Macaca mulatta: one gene and its partner. The protein of the gene in region 2 purifies or fractionates together with the protein of the main gene of each other region. This does not show direct contact. Links are inferred from orthologs where the notes say so. Each region holds a gene or a part of one and is shown on either strand. Other genes may lie near its edges.

Evidence for each region.
Region 1: the proteins of TRAF7 (region 2) and MAP3K3 purify together in Homo sapiens (affinity purification with mass spectrometry; 5 studies listed by BioGRID and IntAct, with this or other methods). This does not show direct contact. The link is inferred for Macaca mulatta from reciprocal best matches to the Homo sapiens genes TRAF7 and MAP3K3.

What each region holds. Positions count from the first base shown.
Region 1 is NC_133421.1:73,415,512-73,419,979, reverse strand, and holds the start of MAP3K3 (mitogen-activated protein kinase kinase kinase 3), read right to left. Parts: upstream 3,091-4,468; 5' UTR 3,048-3,090; coding exon 3,044-3,047; intron 1-3,043. UniProt on the Homo sapiens protein: Component of a protein kinase signal transduction cascade. Mediates activation of the NF-kappa-B, AP1 and DDIT3 transcriptional regulators.
Region 2 is NC_133425.1:3,393,693-3,397,491, forward strand, and holds part of TRAF7 (E3 ubiquitin-protein ligase TRAF7), read left to right. Parts: intron 1-1,669; 5' UTR 1,670-1,707; coding exon 1,708-1,788; intron 1,789-2,303; coding exon 2,304-2,361; intron 2,362-3,799. UniProt on the Homo sapiens protein: E3 ubiquitin and SUMO-protein ligase that plays a role in different biological processes such as innate immunity, inflammation or apoptosis. Potentiates MAP3K3-mediated activation of JUN/AP1 and DDIT3 transcriptional regulators.

The DNA of each region.
Region 1 (4,468 bases), on a different chromosome or scaffold from region 2:
ACTTCCAAGTTGTTACACATTTTTCAGTGATACATCCCACTAAGTTTCAGACTGCATTTATAAAAAGACCACATAAACAATCTCAGGTATTATGAACAGTATTTGCCACTATAATTACTAAATCTGGAAATGAATTCTGGAGTGACCAAGAAAAAACAACCAGTCAATCCCAATTTTTTATAGCCACACAGTATCAAAGCCAAAAAAAATTTTCCTATTATTTACAGAGATAAATAATTTCCACTAGAAATTTACTGGGGCTAACAGACAATATAAAATCTGACCTGTTTTTATTAACCCAAGTTGTCAAACAGGCTTCAGTCTTGGGCTTAGAACAGCTCAGGAAAATATGACTCTTACTTAACCAAAGAACCTGCAGGGCAGACTCAAGTTTTAGTCCTTTCTTCATGAGGCTGAAGTTTAACAAGAATAACTAAAATACTAAGAAGTCTGTGTTTCTCTCTTATAAATCCTTTGAGTTTATGTAGAACTACAGCAACCAAAAGCAAACTAACTAAACTGGGAATTCGAATTTTCATCACCAAAATGGAACCTAGTATTTAAGAGAAAGACTGTGTGTGAATGTATCTGTGTATATATATCCTCATTGAGCTCTATAGAAAGCAAATTGAAGAGCCGGGTGTCAAGAAGAATTCAATATTAGCTCTAACAGTGTATCAAGGTCATCTACTCTCCCCTCACAAAAAAGATGGAGAGAACTGTATGGGGGAAAGTGAAGAAAGCTAGGGCAGTGGTTCTTAAACTAACTTGGCTAATATACTGCAGCCACCAGGCAAGTTAATTCCTCTTGCATGTTCCTTTCACATGTGTCTTCATGTAAAACTGACAGGGGGACAATTGACGTGGAGACAAATGAGAAGATCCTGAGGTCCTGGCCCTTCTTTCTTTCAGGCTCTAGACCCAGCCTATATAGTTTTTTTCCTCCCCATCACTGGTCTCCAGGTACTCACACTTATAAACTTTCTGAAAATGTCTTGAAATGTGAAAACAGGTTCATACCTATTTTCATGTTAGATAATGAGATGTAGTCAACACATGTGGGCACTCTAACTGGTGTAGCAGTCAAGAAAGTAGGAAGTGGATGGTCTACACACCCTTAAGTATTTCACACTCTCCTTTGGGACTAACAGCTGCCCCAGGACAAGAAAAAAGACTTGTGAGAAAGTCACAATATAGGCTCATAAATCAAATGGAAGATTTATTCAAAATCTATAATACAAGATAAATGTTTGGGCCGGGCGCGGTGGCTCAAGCCTGTAATCCCAGCACTTTGGGAGGCCGAGACGGGTGGATCACGAGGTCAGGAGATCGAGACCATCCTGGCTAACACGGTGAAACCCCGTCTCTACTAAAAAATACAAAAAACTAGCCGGGCGATGTGGCGGACGCCTGTAGTCCCAGCTACTCGGGAGGCTGAGGCAGGAGAATGGCGTGAACCCGGGGAGGCGGAGCTTGCAGTGAGCTGAGATCCAGCCACTGCACTCCAGCCTGGGCGACAAGCGAGACTCCGTCTCAAAAAAAAAAAAAAAAAAAAAAGATAAATGTTTGAATCCTGGGGTAGACAAGAATTGTGTGTCTCATCTATAAAAAAATTCAATAAATATTTCTTCAATTATATATTTAAATAGCAGGCCTCACTGGGTTCCTTTTATGTCCACTCTCACAACAGACCTTCCCCCAGAAGAGCACGCACTTCTGAAAGAAAGCATGGGAAGGAAAAAGTAAGCCCAGCAAATGAACAAACCCTTCTCATACTGTATGAGGGATAGCATGAACTAGAGCGAGGCAATTCATTCAAAGCCAGGGTGTAGAGATGGGTCACAAAACAATATCTGGCGATTTTGACATGGCATACAGTTAACCTCCTACAAAAAGGACTTGACCTTGCTATAGGGCAAGGCAAACATTAAGGCTCCCTCTTCACACAGGGCACATCACAGAAGCAACGCAAGGCTTTGCAAACGATCCTCTCACTGAAGTTTACCCTTTTAATATTATTTAGGGCAATACCAAATATTTTGCAAAACTTGTGACAACAGTATCACAACACCTGTCTGCACAGGAGAAGTAAATAACGTTTAAAATGTTATTTCTTAGTCTAGTCCAGTAGTCATTTGCTAAATTACCAAAAAGAATATGGAATATAATTCAACTCAAATGCTAAGTGCGGAAGACATTAAAAGCTTTCCTTAGATTACATCTTCACAGTAGAAACTGCAAATACTGACAAAAAGGAAATCATTTCAGAGAAATTCTTTTGTGTAGCAAATGTTTCTTTGAAAAGTTACATAATTTCAGGGATACCGCAAGAAAAAATTAATGGATGTAAAACCCTGCAACAAGATTTTTCAAAAAGTAGGATGTGAATTCTAACTGGCAGCATCCGACCAATTCCTGACCCCCAGCAATCTGCGTGCAGCACGCATTTGTCAACCGCGCGCTTGATCACAGATTCCAGTTTAATCGCCTCCCAGCCAAGCCCCGCACGCCCTCCCCCCTGCGCTGGGGCGCGCACAGGGCTGGAGAGCAAGCCCCGGGAACTCTCACAGGCCGGCCTGTGTGAGCAAAGGGAAGGAAATGACACAGGCAGGAAAAAAAAGCAAATCAAGGAAAAGACACAACAGCAGCTGGGCCTGCGGCAGCCTCCAGCCCGGGCCCCACACTGCGCTCTCGCTCCCCCGCCCTCGGGCTCGCGGTCCGGCTCATTCGAGCCAGGCTGCCCCGCGGAGCACGGGCCCTCGGTCCCACTGCCGCTTCCCCGGGATGCGCCCGTCGCGCCGCCCGGAAGGAGGGCTGCCGAGAGGGCTCTGCCGGCCGAACCGCCCCGCGGACCCAGAACCCCCGCCCGGGCCGCGGCGTGCGAGCCCGGCGGGCGGGCAGGCGGGCTGCCGGCGGTCCGCAGCCCCGGGCCAGGCAGGCTGTCCATGCCTGTCAGGCGGCGGCCCAGGGTCCTCCTCCCTCAGCCCGGGGCGGGGCGTCGCGAAGCAGCGCGGGCACAGGCCGGGGCGGTGGCGACACTTACCCATGGTGGCGATGGCGGCGGCGGCGGCTTGCGTCCGTGAGTGTCACCTCCGCAGCCGGGGCTGCATGCCGGGGGCCCGGGCGGCGGGGACGGCAGCGGGCCTGGCTCCGCGCGGGGGGCGCGGGCTGCGCTCTGGGCCCCCGCCGCCTCCCCAGGCTCCGGCTCCGGCTCCGCCCGCGGCCGGGCGCTGTGGCATCGGCAGGGTGGCCCGCTACATCCCGGGCGCTTCTGGGCTCGGCCCAGCCCGGCCTCGGCGGCGCCGCTCGGCCCGCCCGCCCGCCAGTCCCTCAGACCCGCAGTCGCTCCGTCCGGCCACCGTTCTCCACCTCAGGAACGCTCCGAAAAACAAACCGCTGGTCGCGCAGCTCGCCCCACTGTCTGTCACTCACGCCGGCGCCCACCAATCCCAGGCAGCCGCTGGGCCGTCGCACCACCCCTACCCACCTCATCAGCCAATAACAAGAAGGAAGTCGGCTGCCCCCGCCTTCCCCCCCAACTCTCTCCCAACACCCTAACTCTCAGCGGCCAGCTAATCATCAGCACCACACGATGAACCAATCCCGCCTACTCTCACAGGATGCCAATGGGCGAAGCCAAGGCGGTCTCCGGGGGCTGTCCAGCGCCTGCCAATCATCGGGACAGCGCCCGGCTCCTTGCGCTGCTAGCCAATCACGTAGAGGTCTCTAAGCCCCCGCCTCTGCGCATCCCTCTCTGGCGCTGTCTCCCCTTCTTGGGAGAGACTGGGAGGTCTTGGTTGCTCCAATCACAGCTCAGGCGCGAGGCTCCGCCCATATTCCCACCTCCCGTCAGTCAGCGAACGCTCGGCGGGCGCGCGGGCTGGCGCAGTTCGCCGCCGGCTATTTTGGGGCTGGGGTGAGGAGTAGGCGGCTGGAGGGGGCCCTCAGGCCTTCGCCCTCCGGGTACTTGGAGGCCCCAGCGATCTGGGTGGTTCCAGAGGCTGGTGTCCTGCTCCTCCCCGTGCCCAGCACGGGGCGCGTAGCGAGTGGGGAGGGTCTGGCCTGAGCATTTCCCGGCGCGCGGCCACCTCTGCGGCCCCATCCCCCGGCTGGTCCTCCGGTCCCGACGCTGCTCTTGCCCCGGGCAGGGGCGGCCGCGCCCAACCCCGCTTTCCCTGAGTCTCACACCTCCAGGGCCACACCCTCCAGTCTAGGTTCCTCAGACACCCAAGGCTGGGGTAGTGCTGGCATGTGGGTCCCTGGAAATCTGAGTTCCGCCAGAGGTTCTTTCAGAAAATAACTTTTTTCTTATAAAAGCAATACAAGCTTTTTGTAGGAAAATTGAAAAATGCAGAAAAGTATGAAAAAGAAAAGCTCCCACCCCAGAGATAATCTATTTCCCACCCAGATAGGCGTTTGACAAAAATGCCTTTGTATTGTTTTGTAGTATGCTTACATTTTATTCTGT
Region 2 (3,799 bases):
ACAGGTGCGCCTGGGCAGCCTAGAGAAGGGGAGAGGAGACAGCAGGGGTGGTAGACAGTCTGGGAGCCCAAGTGCAGGGAACCAAGGGCTTGAGAGCCAGCCCCTCCCTGCAGACCTGTAGGCCGGGCTGGGGGACCCCAGGCCAGACTGCAGCCACGGTGGTGGGTGAGATGAGTGGCAACTTGAAGGCGCATGCAGGGCGGGTATCACCAGAGGGGCCCAGTCAGGAGGGACTGATGGAGGAGGTGCTGGAGCCAGCTGGACTCAGTGATGCCCCCTGAGCCGTGCTCCCACTGGGTGGGGGCAGAGACCAGCTCTGCCACTTTCTTGGCCTGGGGCTAGGGCTCTCCTGCTCCTTTCAGGTCCCTGGGGCCTTGGTCTGCAGCCTGGCTTCCCCAGGGTGAGAGCAGGGCCGCAGGGGTGGGCTCCCTGCTGCTGCGCCGCCTCCAGAGCAAGCTTGTTCTGAAGGCTCCTGCCTTGGGAGCCGAGCCGTGGTGTGTCCTCACAGGGTGCCGTGCATGGGCCTCGAGGTAGACAGTGTGGGTGGGCCCAGGACGGGAGTCCTGGGGGTGTGACTTCCCTCCTCACAGGGACCTCAGCTTCAAGCCGGGATCGGCGGCGGCTCTATCCACAGGCAGCAGGAGACAGGGCTGTCTCAGCCGCGCTCTGCCGGGCTCCTGGCTTCCAGGCTGCCGGGGTCCTGAAAGTGGGGCCTGCTCGGGAGGACGGGTGCCTGCTGACAGAGCCTGGTGCCCCACAGGGGGAGGGTGGGCATCATCCGGTACGGACAGCCCCTTCCCCGGGCTCTGTCCTGGGTGTTACCTGTTGGCTGGGTCTCCTTTTCCCTCTAATGTCTACCTTCCCCTGCAGCTGTCCCTGGGTCTGACCAGCACTCCCAGCACCCACGGAGCAGCCACGTCTCCCCCAGGCCCATCGGCCCCTGTCTTCTGGGAGGGTGATTCCTGTGTGCCTTCTCCCTGCCCCCCTTCCCCACCAGCCCCTGAGTCCCTGTGGCACGGGTGGGAGTGTGTGTGACCTGCGCAGCTTCCAGGGGCGGACTCGTCTCTCTCCTGCAGTTTTTTCCGTGCAGCGCGGTTTGTGCAGAGTTGGGTTCCAGTGACTTCCCCTGCAGGTTCTTTCTCTGGGGTGTCGCTGCTGTCTCCCCCTCTGCAGCCTGCTGCTGACTGGGTCCTGACCGTACCTGCCACGGCAGGAAACACATTCGTCGTGCCTTGACTGGTCCCTATGTGACTGGATCCCGCCACATGGGCCACACCCTGGGCCTACCCACCAAGGCCCAGCCTTGGCCCCAGGGACATTCAGCCTGGAGGTGACTGGCTGTGACTCAGGACCCAGAGGAGTAGAGAGAGCCGGGCAGGGGTCCCTCCACCTTGGGGAAGAGCTGGGTGGGCTCTTCAGGAGCTCAGAAGGGCTAAGTCTTGAGGGACGGGGATGCAGAGCTGCCTGCCCGCCCGGCCTCTGCATGCCTGGGATCCGTGTGAAGGGCCTTTGCCTCCTAGAGGCCTGCCTGAGCCGGTGCTGCTGGTGGAAGGCGGCTGCGGCGGCCCCATGGTGGTCCAGAGCAGGTCTGCATACTTGCAGCGGCCCGGCTGGCTCAAAGGGGCCTGGGCTCCATCTCTCAAGCCCCTCATTTGTGCTCCACCCACAGGAGATGCTGCCCAAGGACCCTAGATGCCTCTCTAGAGCATGAGCTCGGGCAAGAGTGCCCGCTACAACCGCTTCTCTGGAGGGCCCAGCAACCTTCCCACCCCAGACGTCACCACCGGGGTAAGGGCGTGCCCCAAGGGTAAGGGTCTGCCCCTCTGCATGCCCAACATCCCCAGAACCCCCCAGCATGCCCCAGGGACCTGGTGCTTCCTGCAGAGCTCCCAGCGCAGTCCCCTCCCAAGCTTGGGTCTCGGGGGAGCTCGTGTGTGTGTGTTAGGCGTGTGAGTGCTGCGTGGCCTGGCCCGGTCGCGTGTTAGGCGTGTGAGTGCTGCGTGGCCTGGCCCGGTCGCGTGTTAGGCGTGTGAGTGCTGCGTGGCCTGGCCCGCTCGCGTGTTAGGCGTGTGAGTGCTGCGTGGCCTGGCCCGCTCGCGTGTTAGGCGTGTGAGTGCTGCGTGGCCTGGCCCGGTCGCGTGTTAGGCGTGTGAGTGCTGCGTGGCCTGGCCCGGTCGCGTGTTAGGCGTGTGAGTGCTGCGTGGCCTGGCCCGGTCGCGTGTTAGGCGTGTGAGTGGGCTCTACATGTGCATGTCCTCCTTGTGTCCGGGAATGAGGCCAGGTCTCCTCCATCCTCCCTCTAGACCAGAATGGAAACGACCTTCGGACCCGCCTTTTCGGCCGTCACCACCATCACAAAAGGTGAGCCCTTAAGCCGAGGCCAGCCCAGGCTGGGAATAACTGGGGCACCCCCACACCCACCCTCCTTAGGACTGAAGGGCACTTCCTGGTGAGCCGGTGTTGCGTGCCAGTGCTGGGTGTGGGCAGCCTCACATCCCAGCCTCTGTCCTCACAGCCTCTCAGCCTTGGGCCTCCCTGCTGGACAGGAGTCGGGTGTCCTGCTCCTTGCGCCTTGGTGACTGTGCTGTGCCCTCTCTCCCTACCCTCTTCACCCCCTCTGGGGAGGCTGCCCTGACATCTCCAGCCCCACCACACAGCCCTGTCCCTTGTCACAGTGACCCCTAGCTTGTCCCCAGTCTCAGGCTTCTGGCCAGTCTCTGAAAGGTCCTGTGTGCCCGGAAGTCCTCTCTGGAGTTTGGGCCTAGGGCTTCAGTACCAGTGCTGCGGTTGTAAAATATTAATAGGAAAAGAGAGAGAGAGTGGAAGAGGTCCATAAGTCTGGTTTGTTTTTTTGAGATGAGTGTCACTCTGTCACCCAGGTTGGAGTACAGTGGCGTGATCTCGGCTCACTGCAACCTGCACCTCCTGGGATAAGTCCTCCTACCTCAGCCTCCCAGGAAGTTGGGACCACAGGCACCACCACACCTGGCTAATTTTTTTTTTATGTTTGGTAGAGATGAGGTGGCACCATGTTGCCCAGGATGGTCTCAAATTCCTGGGCTCAAGTGATCCTCCTGCCTCGGCCTCCCAAAGTGCTGGAATTACACGCATGAGCCACCATGCCAAACCCAATAAATCTTCACCTGCACATGACCACTGGGCGGGGTACACGACGGAAACCTGAAACTTCCTTGCTGCTTCTCAGCCCTAAACCCTAAGAACCAGAGTGCTGCAGGTTGAACGCAAGCACCGTGCTCAGGGAGACGGTGAGGAAGTGGCAGCACCTTCTTCCCGAGGTGCAGGGCCAGGGACCCTCGTTCGGGGCGGGGGCTCTGGGGAGACTTTGTTCTCTGTCCTTTCTGGCACTCTGCCCTTTGTAGAAGCACACCAGCTGCTAATTAGTTTTTTTAATTGCTCTGATAAACCTGGCCATGGGGTCACAGGGCCGCCAAGGACCTGTTCACAGTAGCACCTCTTTGCTGCCGGTGACTCCCTCAGGGGCTTTCCAGGGGCCCTCTTTTTTTTTTTTTCTTGGATGGTTCTTTTTTTTTTTTTTTTTTTTTTTTTGAGACGGAGTCTCGCTCTGTCACCCAGGCTGCAGTGCAGTGGCCGGATCTCAGCTCACTACAAGCTCTGCCTCCCGGGTTCCCGCCATTCTCCTGCCTCAGCCTCCCGAGTAGCTGGGACTACAGGCGCCGCCACCTCACCCGGCTAAGTTTTTGTATTTTTAGTAGAGATGGGGTTTCACTGTGTTACCCAGGATGGTCTCGATCTCCTGACCTCGTGATCCGCCCGTCTC